Arabidopsis thaliana: one gene and its partner. The protein of the gene in region 1 interacts with the protein of each later gene in a pairwise test. Each region holds a gene or a part of one and is shown in the gene's direction. Other genes may lie near its edges.

Evidence for each region. The genes of interacting proteins can lie anywhere in the genome.
Region 2: the proteins of CASP (region 1) and STP1 interact in a protein complementation assay, tested with the Arabidopsis thaliana proteins (one large-scale study listed by BioGRID).

What each region holds. Positions count from the first base shown.
Region 1 is NC_003074.8:6,334,741-6,342,432, forward strand, and holds CASP (CCAAT-displacement protein alternatively spliced product), read left to right. Parts: upstream 1-1,951; 5' UTR 1,952-2,183; coding exon 2,184-2,286; intron 2,287-2,686; coding exon 2,687-2,797; intron 2,798-2,916; coding exon 2,917-3,095; intron 3,096-3,177; coding exon 3,178-3,327; intron 3,328-3,550; coding exon 3,551-3,639; intron 3,640-3,726; coding exon 3,727-3,836; intron 3,837-3,955; coding exon 3,956-4,050; intron 4,051-4,147; coding exon 4,148-4,203; intron 4,204-4,302; coding exon 4,303-4,468; intron 4,469-4,585; coding exon 4,586-4,678; intron 4,679-4,810; coding exon 4,811-4,939; intron 4,940-5,062; coding exon 5,063-5,182; intron 5,183-5,302; coding exon 5,303-5,383; intron 5,384-5,811; coding exon 5,812-5,919; intron 5,920-6,021; coding exon 6,022-6,165; intron 6,166-6,254; coding exon 6,255-6,356; intron 6,357-6,446; coding exon 6,447-6,526; intron 6,527-6,613; coding exon 6,614-6,706; intron 6,707-6,795; coding exon 6,796-6,856; 3' UTR 6,857-7,048; and 1 more. Other genes in the region: AT3G18470 (PLAC8 family protein), read right to left, coding at 260-321, 425-637, 722-793, 904-958; ILR2 (iaa-leucine resistant 2), read right to left, coding at 7,178-7,692. UniProt on the Arabidopsis thaliana protein: May be involved in intra-Golgi transport.
Region 2 is NC_003070.9:3,775,238-3,781,540, forward strand, and holds STP1 (sugar transporter 1), read left to right. Parts: upstream 1-1,998; 5' UTR 1,999-2,222; coding exon 2,223-2,355; intron 2,356-2,662; coding exon 2,663-2,985; intron 2,986-3,691; coding exon 3,692-4,321; intron 4,322-4,413; coding exon 4,414-4,896; 3' UTR 4,897-5,586; downstream 5,587-6,303. UniProt on the Arabidopsis thaliana protein: Major hexose transporter. Mediates an active uptake of hexoses, by sugar/hydrogen symport. Can transport glucose, 3-O-methylglucose, fructose, xylose, mannose, galactose, fucose, 2-deoxyglucose and arabinose. Confers sensitivity to galactose in seedlings.

The sequences.
Region 1 (7,692 bases):
CGTTTTTAGGTACAGATTATTTTTGTACCAAAGCCAGACACCAAATATATCGAATAAGGGAAAAAATAAGCCCTCTTGGATGAAAAAATACGATCTTCCAATTCTTTTATTTTCACATATCAAAATAAACAATATTGATAAAATCTGAAAAAGAATTTAAAATAATATGCTAGCTCAATATAAAACTACACTTAAAAGTGCTGTTTTCGTGAACCACTTATTTAATTCAAATCATATTGCAAATCAGAAATCTTCTTAATCAACCCATCATCTGCTGACTCATAGGAGGAGCCATCGTCCGTTGCATATTTCCACTCCACCCTATCACATAAAAATAATAAAGTTACATCAAATAATTAATCAAACGTATGAAAGACACTAATTATTTCAATAGAAAGTGAGTCCACAAAACAATGCAATTTACCAATAGAGGGGTCAAGACCACGGGTTTTGAGTTCACGGTGTTCTTGGCAAAGAGCACAACATTCACAAAAGAAGTGAGTGACGCAATCCGAAGTTGGAGACTCCGGTAACCCGAATTTGCTTCGGATCTTGGTCCGGTAAGTGCATGAGAACAAGCAAGGTAAGCCGACCACACAACATATTAGCCCGTAAAATACCCCACATCTCCCACAACCTACGTACATTATATATACGACGTTACGTGAATTCACACACACACACATTGTTTAGATATGACATATGTGAATGTATGGCTTACCGGTCCTTCCTTCGTCGGAAATGTCCGCGATCCGTCCGAAAGTGACGCATGGGCAGAAACATGTGAGGCAAGCTTATCCAGCACAAACCAAAAGGAACAAATCATTATACAATCCTGACAATAGATCTATATATGTATAAAGATTAAAGGACAACTTGATTAAATTTATATAGAATTTCTACCAGTTTCACTGTCTTCCATGCAGCTGAAAAGACCAGAAGTCCATTGCTTTTCCATTGTAAAGTAGCTTCAACCAAATCTTGCGTCAGGTTTTAACCAGTTTTGTGTTGATCGATCTTTTGATAAGCGAGATCGTAAATCAATTAATTAGGGTTTTGAAGATAGATTTTTGTTGTTAGATGCTTTAAGAATGGAGGGTGGGTGGGTATATATATGGTTGATGGTGGATCGCTTCGAGAGATCTACAAATGTTTAATTTTTAGTACATTGCACTTTGGGAAAAATCATAAAAGTTGTAAAAAAGAGTAAAAGACTTTTAAAACTAGTACGTTGCACTTTTTGTTAAAAGGAGGAAGGTTTTTTGAAAATTGATTTTTGTTTAAGGAAGGTGAGAGATTTTACTGATTGTGAGAGATTTTAAGCTACTTAAAAGTAATATGTAAACGCGTTTTTGGGATTGGTTTAATCCACACATATATACAAGATACAAAGAATTTAATTTAATGACTAAGAAAATTAAAGAAATTATGAATAAAAAAGAAATATACATCCTAAAAATGCGAAAGTAAAATAAAACAGGCTATGCTAAATTTTAAAATATTAAATTCAACATTTTTCTATTCATAAAATTTCTATTAAAATTATTTGTAGATAAGAGATAATATGTTCAAACATTATTCCTCTATATAAGGAATCAAACTTGCAAACTTTAAAATAAAATTTTGAAAAATATATCTAATGTAATATTCTGGTTTTATTAGTAAAGTAATATTACTTAATACTAACAAATTACAAAGAAAAGAACTGAAGGAAAAAAAATAAACTTTTAAAATTTTCTAACCAGTGAAATAAATTAGAATTTAAACTTAAAATTTTATTAATTAATAATAGTCATAACAAAATTTGACAAATGTTTTCAACTTAGATGTGCAATAAACATGAATTTATTCTACTAAATCAATACTGGGCCTATGAATGGCGCAAGGAATAGCCCATTGGTTATTCTATATCTTTTGGACCTTACGTTTTTGAAGCCTGTTTAGGATCACACTCATAACAAAAAAATAAATAAGAATTACGCTTCTACCACCATTAAACTCTAATGTATCTGAACTCAGAAGATCCGATCGGAGTAGTAAAAATTCAACAAAACAACAATAAGAAAACTCATTAATTCATTCGTCGGATTCGAAGAAGAAATCACTTCCCAGAAACTTTCTTCGTATCGAAGTATTGCTTGTGTTCTTCGGAGAAACGAGATCGGGATCCGAATACGAGTACAATGGAGGTTTCGCAAGATGGATCGGAAAGAGATAAAACTCCTCCTCCTTCCTCTTCTTCTTCTTCTTCCTCTCCCATTCCTGTCGTCACCAATTTCTGGAAAGGTTTGTTTCAGATTATGTCTAGCTATCTATTCGTTTTCTTCGACTCGTAGTGAAGCTGAGGATGAGCTTGTTTTTGTAGTTAGGAGAAATTCGTTTGTTAGGATTCCGTTTAAGTAGTAAGACTTAATGAGATTCTCACTGAATGTTCGGGGAGATTGCATTGGTAGTTTAATGTGATCGGATTGAGAAATTTCAGTTTATTGCTTTAAAAGTTATCAACACATTTTTCAGTACTGATAACTAGTTTCATCTCGATTCTCCGGCTTTTGTATTTGTTATACGAAACCAGTTTCAATTAGAGAACTGGTTCTGTGGTTGCTCGCTGTTTTGATAGACATCATCATAGAAGAAAGCTCTTCCCGAATGATCCATTTACTTGTCTTTAAACTACTTGTTGCAGAATTTGATTTGGAGAAGGAGAAAAGCCTGCTTGACGAGCAAGGGCTTAGAATAGCTGAAAATCAAGAAAACAGCCAAAAGAATCGCCGAAAGCTTGCAGAGAGCACACGAGGTACTTTTTTGTTTCACCTTTTATATTGCTTAACACTTCAACATTTTCTCCTGAGGGACCTCGATAGGTTCCAGCGAAGAGATGTTAACATATTCTTTGGTTTATCTTGGTAACAACAGACTTCAAGAAAGCTTCGCCTGAGAACAAACTTAGTATGTTTAATTCCCTCCTCAAGGGATATCAAGAAGAAGTAGATAATATTACCAAGAGGGCCAAGTTTGGGGAGAATGCTTTCCTAAATATCTATCAGAAACTCTATGAAGCACCTGATCCGTTTCCTGCTCTTGCTTCTATTGCTGTAATTATCCACTTATCTAATGTTAACATAATAGACACCTAAAGTCCTTTAGCCTGAGAACCAACTAATTGCTGTATTCCAGGAGCAAGATCGTAAATTATCTGAAGTGGAATCTGAAAATCGAAAGATGAAAGTTGAACTTGAGGAGTTTAGGACAGAAGCGACTCATCTTAAAAATCAGCAGGCCACAATAAGAAGGCTTGAAGAACGGAACCGCCAGCTTGAGCAACAGGTCAGCTTGCTTTTAACCTCTTCTTCTAATTGATATAGGGATAAAACTAAATGAATGTAAAGCACAGCTTCCTTGATTATTTTTCAGTCTATTCTAGGAGGTCAAATGCAAATTTATACACTGAGCCATAAGCATGATTTATATAGAGATGCTATTTTGTGATCTTGTAACGAATAACTGTCGAAGATTAGCAGTGATATCGAGTTGTTATATTTGGATTCAGATGGAAGAAAAAATCAAAGAAGTTGTTGAGATCAAGCAACGAAATCTGGCTGAGGAAAACCAGAAAACGATGGAGCTTTTAAAGGATAGGTAAAAAAAAAATTCTCTTCTGCATGCTTTGGGTGTTTAGAAAGTTTTCGAGGAAGCACCAACCTTTCCTTGTTCACTGTTTAACAGGGAGCAAGCTTTGCAAGATCAGTTAAGGCAAGCAAAAGACAGCGTCTCCACTATGCAAAAATTGCATGAGTTAGCACAGAACCAACTTTTTGAACTCCGTGCTCAATCAGGTGGTGCATTGAGCCTTAATATGGTGACTCATATTGTGCTTTCATAATTGGAATGGTCTCCCTTACATATTGTTCCTTCTTGTCTTGTTAATATATGTCACCTTTGTCTAAACCATCAGACGAAGAGACCGCGGGGAAGCAATCTGAAGTTAGTCTATTGATGGATGAAGTGGAGCGTGCTCAGACCCGACTCCTTACTCTTGAGAGGGAAAAGGTCTTTCATATCATGCTCTCTTTGTTTGAATTAAGGGAATGCCCTAAGATAAACCACCGTTTTTAGCTCTCTAATTTTGTTTATTGGTTTGTAACAGGGACATCTGCGTTCTCAGCTGCAAACAGCTAATGAAGATACTGATAACAAGAAAAGGTGAGGTGACACTTATGCGTCCATATAACAAGGAGTCAAATAACTTTTATCTAAGTTTTTGCTTTGTTTTAATTTTTTTGTTATGCTCTTTCTCTACAGTGATAATATTGATTCGAATAGTATGCTGGAGAACTCGTTAACTGCAAAAGAGAAGATTATTTCGGAGCTTAATATGGAGATTCACAATGTTGAGACAGCTTTAGCTAATGAGCGAGAAAGTCATGTTGCCGAGATAAAGAAATTGAATTCTTTGCTCAATAAAAAGGTGAAATTTGTGCTATGTTTTGTCTTTTATGCTGAGAAATTATATTTTGTTCTGAAAATTAGTTTCCGGTCCCTTCAATGTCTAATATTAGCTTACCGTCATTTGGTATTAAACCAGGATACTATCATTGAAGAGATGAAGAAAGAGCTTCAAGAAAGACCATCAGCAAAATTAGTTGATGATTTGCGCAAAAAAGTGAAAATTCTGCAGGTATTCATCATTTCAAGTGTTTTTTGGTGCTCACTTAGTTTAACTTCTTATTAACTTCTTGCCACAGATCCATACCTTGTTCTTTCTGGTAACGGTACGATCGTATGTAGTAATATCATTGTTGCATATTAGGCTGTAGGTTACAATTCAATTGAGGCTGAAGACTGGGATGCTGCTACCACTGGTGAAGAGATGAGCAAAATGGAGTCGCTTCTTCTTGATAAAAACAGAAAAATGGAACATGAGGTCACTCAGTTAAAGGTACATGACCTCTACGGAATGAACCACCACCATCTGTAATTCTGTCTTTTCGTTACTCTTTCCCTTTTCAGTGAACATACACAAGTAAAGTCACTGGTCGATTCACACCACTTCTTTTCCCAGGTTCAACTTTCTGAGAAAGCTTCCTTGCTTGAGAAGGCTGAAGCCAAGGGAGAAGAACTGACAGCTAAGGTTAATGAACAACAAAGACTGATACAAAAGTTGGAGGATGATATTTTGAAGGTACGTAAGAGTGTGTAGTTACCATTTTAAGTTAAAAGGTATCTGTGCTACTGCTACTAAGGAGGAGAAACTCGATCAAAGTCTTTGATTATACTGAAACCTTATTTACTTGTTACACAGGGTTACGGTTCAAAAGAGCGAAAAGGTGCTCTATTTGATGAATGGGAGTTCTCAGAAGCAGGTGTGGCTGAGCAGTCTGAGGTACTTCTCTCTGGCCCTGTGCATATATGAGTCAATGAGTCGTGTAATTTATCATGCAATACTCTTAAAGCAGGAAAATTTTCCCAAAAGTAAAAGAAAGGATGGAATCGTTCAGAACTAAGAGTTAGATAAACAGTAACCTATCGCTTTAAGTTCTCTACTAGATAATCTTAACGGTCTAACATGTATGCTCACTCTGCCTTCTATTTATGGCGTGAATTAAAATATTGCTAGGGAATCGTGGTACGTATATATTTTACCATGATCTATTTTTTTTTCAAAAGCAAAATACCTCTGAACTTCTTGTCAAACCATTAAAAAGTTTTCATACAACTAAGGGTATTTCCATGATATGGTATATTATATACCTCACAATTAGACTTATCACTAACTACTGCTCTTTATCATTTTGTGTTTCCTTTTATTAGCCTATGGATCAGAAACATGTTCCATCAGAGCAAGATCAAAGCTCAATGCTAAAAGTTATCTGCAGCCAAAGAGATCGGTTCCGAGCACGATTACGGGAAACAGAAGAGGTACAGTTAGTTGTACATATAAATGATCCTCTTCCCTCTGTATTCTCTATCTCCAGTTAAATTTATTTGAACTGAATTTTATGTGTTCTCTTAACATTGCAGGAAATAAGGCGATTAAAAGAGAAGATAGGTTTTCTCACAGACGAATTGGAGAAGACCAAAGCAGACAACGTCAAACTCTATGGGAAAATCCGTTATGTCCAAGACTATAACCATGATAAAGTTGTTTCCCGAGGATCGAAAAAGGTATTTGTTTTCTGCGATACATTTCCCTTGAACCTTTTCTGTCTCGTGATCGGGTTTTTTCCATGGTTGATATCGTTTTCCAATCTCAGTATGTGGAAGATCTTGAAAGTGGATTCAGCTCGGATGTCGAATCAAAATACAAGAAAATTTACGAAGATGACATCAACCCTTTTGCAGCATTCTCGAAAAAGGTAAAAAATAAAACATTCTGCTATCATCGACACAAGCCTTATATTTCTTTCCTAAACATTAACCCTTTCCTATTTATATGTGTTTGATAGGAAAGAGAGCAACGGATCAAAGATTTGGGAATCAGAGATCGGATTACGCTAAGCAGTGGGCGGTTCCTTCTAGGAAACAAGTAATCCTCTTGCTCTCAAGTTTATTCACATTCATACTCGATCACAGAATTTTCGGTTATTTTCAATTTCATGATTGGATCTTTCAGATACGCAAGGACATTTGCTTTCTTCTACACAATAGGATTGCACGTCCTTGTCTTCACTTGTCTCTACCGTATGTCTGCTTACAGTTATCTCAGGTAAAACAAACCCACCAATTTTTGTTTTTGTTACAAGTCCATTATGTGATTGATTTTATTTAATTTCTTCTTCTTTATTTATGGTTTAGCCATGGAGCAGAGGAGACTCTAATGACAGAAGCAACCACAAACCTTCCTCACGGTCTTTAAGCTCTCACCCTAGGGACTTATTCGTTTTTGGTCGTTATGTTCTTTCTTGTCCTTGTAGTGTTCCGTGGGCAATTCTAAAACGGTTGAATATTTGTACAGAGGGATCCAAATCACTCGATACATATATAAAGCCACAGAAAAAACTTCCTTCAGAAAACTGCAGAAATCTAAATAAGATCTGGTTTACTTTTCTTCGAAACATAAATAACCATGAAAAATGCACCAAAACGATAACAAATCCGACAGGAATAATTGTTGCTATCCAAATACAAAATAAAATAAAATGAAAGTCGTTGCTTGATATCTGTTAGGCAACAACACCTACGTGGCTGGGCCTTTGAATGCTTGCTTGACAATCGATGGGATAGTGAGGTAGGAGCTGTTATCGGTAAGGCTGGAGCCAATAGGCCTTATTTTCCAGAACGGGCCATGATCAAGAGTTTTCGACCCAAACGTCCCGAAGAAGGGATGGTTAGGAAACATCCTGATATATGTCTGAGAGAAGGCGGCAAGTGCTTCCGCAAGGGGAGGGAGGTTGCGAACTGTGCTTTTGAGCTGGTAACCGAACTCATAGGTTGCACGCTTATCAGCAATACAATTTGGTGATTCTGGAAGATGTTCCGGGGTAGAGAGAACGACCATGACTTGGTTAGCAACCAACCCATGTGGAGAGCAGTCAGCAAGGGTGCCGGATCCTTCAAAGGATGCAGCAACATCATCCGCAACTCCTTTTACTTGATTGAACCAAGCCATGCTGTGTTTCATGTGGAGAAAGGAAGAGATCTTTTCGAGGTTATCAGCGGCAGAAGTGACCTGAAAGTTAAAATTGCTGTAGC
Region 2 (6,303 bases), on another chromosome or scaffold:
CCATTTTGCATAAATTTTTGTTGAAATTTACCTTGATCTTTTTTTTTCTTTGAGAAAACCCAGGGACCATCTTTTCGTTTTACAAATTTAGTTTATCATTTATCATTCGTACAAAATATCCTGTATTTTCTTTATATAAAAAAGATCTTGTCTTTATCATCCTTCACTACGACGTTTATTAATTAAAAATCCACCCAAAAATGTCATATTCGTCCCTTTGTCCTTGGATTTTATATTCACTGCTCTAGCAATTACTATACTTCATTTTACACAGATTTTTCAGGAAGTTTGACAATTATGTTGTTTTGGAATTTCGCAGTGAGTTTGAAATTATGAAAGTTCCATTTGGTTGTGAATTATCAAAAGGGGGAAGTGTACAGGGGTAATTTAGGAAGTTTGGGTTATGATAAATGATAATCATATGCAAATCTTAGTTCAGAAGTGCCGCGAATCTGGGAAAAGAATAAGCACAGCTTTTTAAAATTACCTTTAACCCCTTTATTTTAAAACAATTTCTTTATTCGCCTTTACCTTTTTTTATCAACCAAATTTTGCCTCTTTCTCTTTACTCTGCCTATTAAGCAAAAAGCCAAAGATTAGATGGAAACCAATTAACATCAAGTAAGACTGAAGAAAGAAAAAGAGTATTTTAAAATTGCGTACATATGAATCTGTCCTATAAATTTTGAACCTATCCTAATACCACGGACTTATATATGTGAACGTTAACAACACTTTCAAACTCAAAAAGAAGATATATGGATAAGCATTCCACGTAACCGTACATTGTTATGTTCTTTTCTAGATAAACAAAATCTTTGCGTGGTCGAAATTGAAAAATAAATCTTTATATCTGTAAAGAAAATTTCGATGTCACTTTATAAGAAAAACCAATGCTGCATCCCATGAAACAAATTAATTCCAAGAACATTATCCAAAACGAATTTAATGTTATCCAAATAGATCAAGAAAATTAGTTGGACCGTCGAATGAAATGCGATCCTTGCTGATTAGCACATGACGTGTTCATTTATTTTTGCCACCATTCCACCGACCTCAACTCTTCTTTTGGTAAAATTTTATGTTTATGATATCTTGTGATACACAATTTATTACTATTTGGTACATTTTGAAGTATTTGTTTTTGCATGATATATGACGTTAATTTGAACTGATATTAGTCAATTTATGGGTACAAAAGTTGAAAGTTTAGAGCACTATGTTGGATTTATTAAAAATGATATCATACAATGGTTCAATATATATATATTTTTTTCCACGTTTTTAATAACATTTTTGTAAACAAGTCTTCTACTATTGTCTTTATTGTTAATGAGTTTCTAGTACCTAATTAGGAATTTTGAGGATATACGATACATTAATGAGTTACATTATCCCGAAAACAAAATCTTGAAAACGAACAAAGATAATTTGGACATTACTCGTTATGTATACGTATGGAATTGGATAGAGCCGTTGAACCATCAAGTGGGTCTTCAAGTCAACGAACTGAATTTGATTTTACACTCATGTACATCGGCCACAATTTTATTCACACACTACTAACACCTCTGGTGTCCACTTTTTTCTTTCTCTAGATTGATGTGTTAAGATTTTTGTTGCAATTCATTTATTCAGGTATTTTTATATATATATATATATAAATTAGAATAAACTAATTTAAAGAAAGATATAGCAATTATGTTTCACATTTTAACATTCTCAATCATTTATAAAACTAATGTGGTGATGAATGGTATATATATATATATATATATATATATATATATATATTTTGTTGTGAACTAATGGTAAATATTTAAAATAAGACATACGTACATAAATCCACGGACTCTTAAAGTCATGATGCGGTTAATAAATGTTCACATAACGGTAACCAAGTGGCTCAAAATCATGAAACAACGTCACATAATTTATCTTATAATGTGGATAATTAGTACCGCATTATTTGTAAGAAAATTAAATTAATTATAGATTCACAGCTAAGAAAATACGAAAAGACAGCTCAACACTTTTCCACTTCTATTCCCCACTGTCTATATAACTCTGATAAATAATCTCTGATCTCTCCATCTAATATCTCTTTCTCAATTTCGGTTCCACTTTCCTTTCGTTTGCAAAAACCCATCCCATCAAAAATAAACAAGAGGGCCTAAAGAAGAATCCTAAAGACTTTACGGGTCTTGTTTAGGATAAAAGAAATGCCTGCCGGTGGATTCGTCGTCGGGGATGGCCAAAAGGCTTATCCCGGCAAACTCACTCCCTTTGTTCTCTTCACTTGCGTTGTTGCTGCCATGGGCGGTCTCATCTTCGGATACGATATCGGAATCTCCGGTTAGTGTCTCTCTATTTTTCAGATTTTACATTTCCACCCCAAAAGTATCTATGTAGTCATCAACACACCCAAATCAGAAATAATAATTGTCGTTTTTGATACGAAAACATTAGAGTACCCACCCCATATTTTCACTTTAGTCATGATGACACACAAGGCTCAAAATTACAGAATCACCAACAATATTGCAAGTCTTTAAAATTACAAAATCGCCGCACATGTTTTAAAACAGAGTCATGTAAACCCTCATCCATGTCTGATAAATTTTCTCTGGGATATCTGTTAATGAATTTAAAATATTTACAGGTGGTGTGACGTCTATGCCGTCTTTCCTCAAGCGATTCTTCCCGTCGGTGTATCGGAAACAACAAGAGGACGCGTCAACGAACCAGTACTGTCAGTACGATAGCCCGACGCTAACGATGTTCACATCGTCTCTATATCTAGCGGCGCTAATTTCGTCGCTGGTGGCTTCCACCGTGACAAGAAAGTTCGGACGGCGGCTCTCGATGCTCTTCGGCGGCATACTCTTCTGCGCCGGAGCTCTCATCAATGGTTTCGCCAAACATGTTTGGATGCTCATCGTCGGTCGTATCTTGCTTGGTTTCGGTATCGGTTTCGCTAATCAGGTCCGTCATTAAAAAACCTTAATTTTAATTACGTTGGTTTAGTTTACAAATAACCATCCATAATGTGTTTCTATCAAAATTGATTTTTTTTTGTCGAACAGAAAACTAACAAAAATAAAATTGTCTTTAATACTACTATAGAAGTTATTAATGTATTGAAAGTTATATTTATAACCGTTATAAATGTACCTTGGTTTTGGAAAAAAAGTTATGGACTAAGCCAACTACTTTCATTAAACATAATCATAAAATAGTTAGGTCAACTTGACTTTATCAATTTTCTTTTGCTTTTCTACTACAACGATCATTATATTCCACGTTATAGAGTATATGATATTACAATTATTGAATTTTGTTATTGATTTGTTTTTCTGCTAGTATCCACAATTCCACATGGTCTTTTCATTAGACTGTGATGATGTCTCTTTCTCTCCATTTCCATTGTTTTAATTAATTAAAAAAATATATTGTTTTTGACGTCATATTATATATTTTTTAGTTAGGAAAAAGGTCATATTCGGACCTATCTTCGAGTTATAACGCAATGACAAAATTGACCCTGTTTAACTTCCATATTTACGTTCATATCTCTATTTGATCTCGAACAATCAGAATCTTCACTCACTTAAAAAAGTCAGATTAGGACACGTATCTACTTAAACCTGCTAACTACGTAACTAACCCTAGTTAATATCACTATTTACAGGCTGTGCCACTGTACCTCTCTGAGATGGCTCCATACAAATACAGAGGAGCTTTAAACATTGGTTTCCAGCTCTCAATTACAATCGGAATCCTCGTCGCCGAAGTGCTAAACTACTTCTTCGCCAAGATCAAAGGCGGTTGGGGATGGCGGCTCAGTCTCGGAGGCGCGGTGGTTCCTGCCTTGATCATAACCATCGGCTCCCTCGTCCTCCCTGACACTCCCAATTCAATGATCGAGCGTGGCCAACACGAAGAAGCCAAAACCAAGCTCAGACGAATCCGTGGTGTCGATGACGTCAGCCAAGAGTTTGACGATTTGGTCGCCGCTAGTAAAGAGTCGCAGTCGATAGAGCACCCGTGGAGAAACCTCCTCCGCCGCAAGTACCGACCACATCTCACAATGGCCGTTATGATTCCGTTCTTTCAACAGCTAACCGGAATCAATGTGATTATGTTTTACGCTCCGGTTTTGTTCAACACCATTGGTTTCACGACCGATGCTTCTCTCATGTCCGCTGTGGTCACTGGCTCGGTTAACGTGGCCGCTACGCTTGTTTCTATCTACGGTGTTGACAGATGGGGACGTCGGTTTCTCTTTCTTGAAGGTGGTACACAAATGCTTATATGCCAGGTAAGGAACAATTACTACTTTTATTTATCTCTAAGATCTATATAAACATATACTAATAAAGATGTGTTGGTTCACTCTCTGTGTAATTGTAGGCTGTGGTTGCAGCTTGCATAGGGGCCAAGTTTGGGGTAGACGGGACCCCTGGTGAGCTACCAAAGTGGTATGCTATAGTGGTTGTAACGTTCATTTGCATCTATGTGGCGGGTTTTGCGTGGTCGTGGGGCCCACTAGGGTGGTTAGTACCGAGTGAAATCTTCCCGTTGGAGATAAGGTCGGCGGCGCAGAGTATCACCGTGTCCGTGAACATGATCTTCACGTTCATTATCGCGCAAATCTTCTTGACGATGCTTTGTCATTTGAAGTTTGGGTTATTCCTTGTTTTCGCCTTTTTCGTGGTGGTGATGTCGATCTTTGTATACATTTTCTTGCCGGAGACGAAAGGGATTCCGATAGAGGAGATGGGTCAAGTGTGGAGGTCACACTGGTATTGGTCAAGGTTTGTGGAGGATGGTGAGTATGGGAATGCGCTTGAGATGGGCAAGAACAGTAACCAAGCTGGAACGAAGCATGTTTGATTTATCATTGTTTTTAATGAGAGTTTTAAGAAAGAAAGAAAAAAGATTTGTAATTTCTAATGTCGTAAAGGAAAAAGTGTATTAGCCTAGATATTTATTGGTGTTTATATAATTCAATACCACATGAAGAAATTATGCATATGATTCTTCGTTAATTGTCTGTAATTGTTATACTCTTTACTTAAACCAAGTGTTTTCTCTTTGATTCTTCTTTCGCAGCATTGTACTCCAATGAACCACCAACAATATAACTAAGTACCACCAACAAAAATATATTTAGACAAAAATCTAAAAATGCTGAGATCAACAAAGAAAATCCGAGAAGAAGCTAAAAATGCAGAAAATGTTAAATTACAAAGGTTCATCATTGGTAGAACGAAAAGAAAGACAAATTAAGCAGAGAATAAGCTTTGGTAATAATAAACAGCATATCCGGTTGAAGGGTCAAAGAGTAAATCATAAGATTTGTCATGGAGATCATATATCACCCGATGTCCCCAGCTATTTCGACCTTGAAGCAATAGCTTATTCCCGTCCATGATTGCTATTGGAGCCAATGGGTAGCTGAAAGAAAAAAACCAAGAGATATTTACTGTGAGATCTATGGAACACAATTTCTTCCATGTCTTGTTGTTGAAAGTTAAACTTGATTTTGAATCAAGTTTAATTATTGGATCAATTATCCAATAATTAATTATGGCCAAATCCAAGTTCTAGAGTTTTCTCTAGAAATATCATCATTTCCACCTCCTTAAAAGATTCTAGAAATTTTCTAGAATCATCTTCCACCTCCTTAAACATAAAAATCTAGATACTCTAATAGAATAATCTAGATAATTTGAATAATGTAATCTAGATCTTATGTAAGAACTCTCTAGACTTAGGATTAAAATATTTTAGATATTTTGTAGTTTGGAGGCTATAAATACCTCCTCCCCCTCTCAAATGTTGCAATGTTGTGAAGTTGTATTCAAGTTTAAAGCAAAGTAATAAAAGTTCTATTTCCTAAAAAACTCTCTCAAAACACTTAAACACTTTCTCCATTACCTCTAAAAGAATTTTACTCTAACAAAGTGGTATCAGAGCTTGAAGATCCTAAAGATGGCGAGTAATAATGTTCCCTTCCAAGTCCCGGTGCTCACAAAGAGCAACTATGATAATTGGAGTCTACGAATGAAGGCTATCCTAGGAGCACATGACGTGTGGGAGATAGTCGAGAAAGGTTTCATTGAACCGGAGAATGAAGGTAGTCTTTCTCAAACTCAAAAAGATGGTTTGAGAGACTCAAGAAAGAGAGACAAGAAAGCTCTCTGTCTAATCTATCAAGGATTAGATGAAGATACGTTCGAGAAGGTCGTTGAAGCTACGTCGGCGAAAGAAGCATGGGAGAAGCTTCGAACCTCTTAC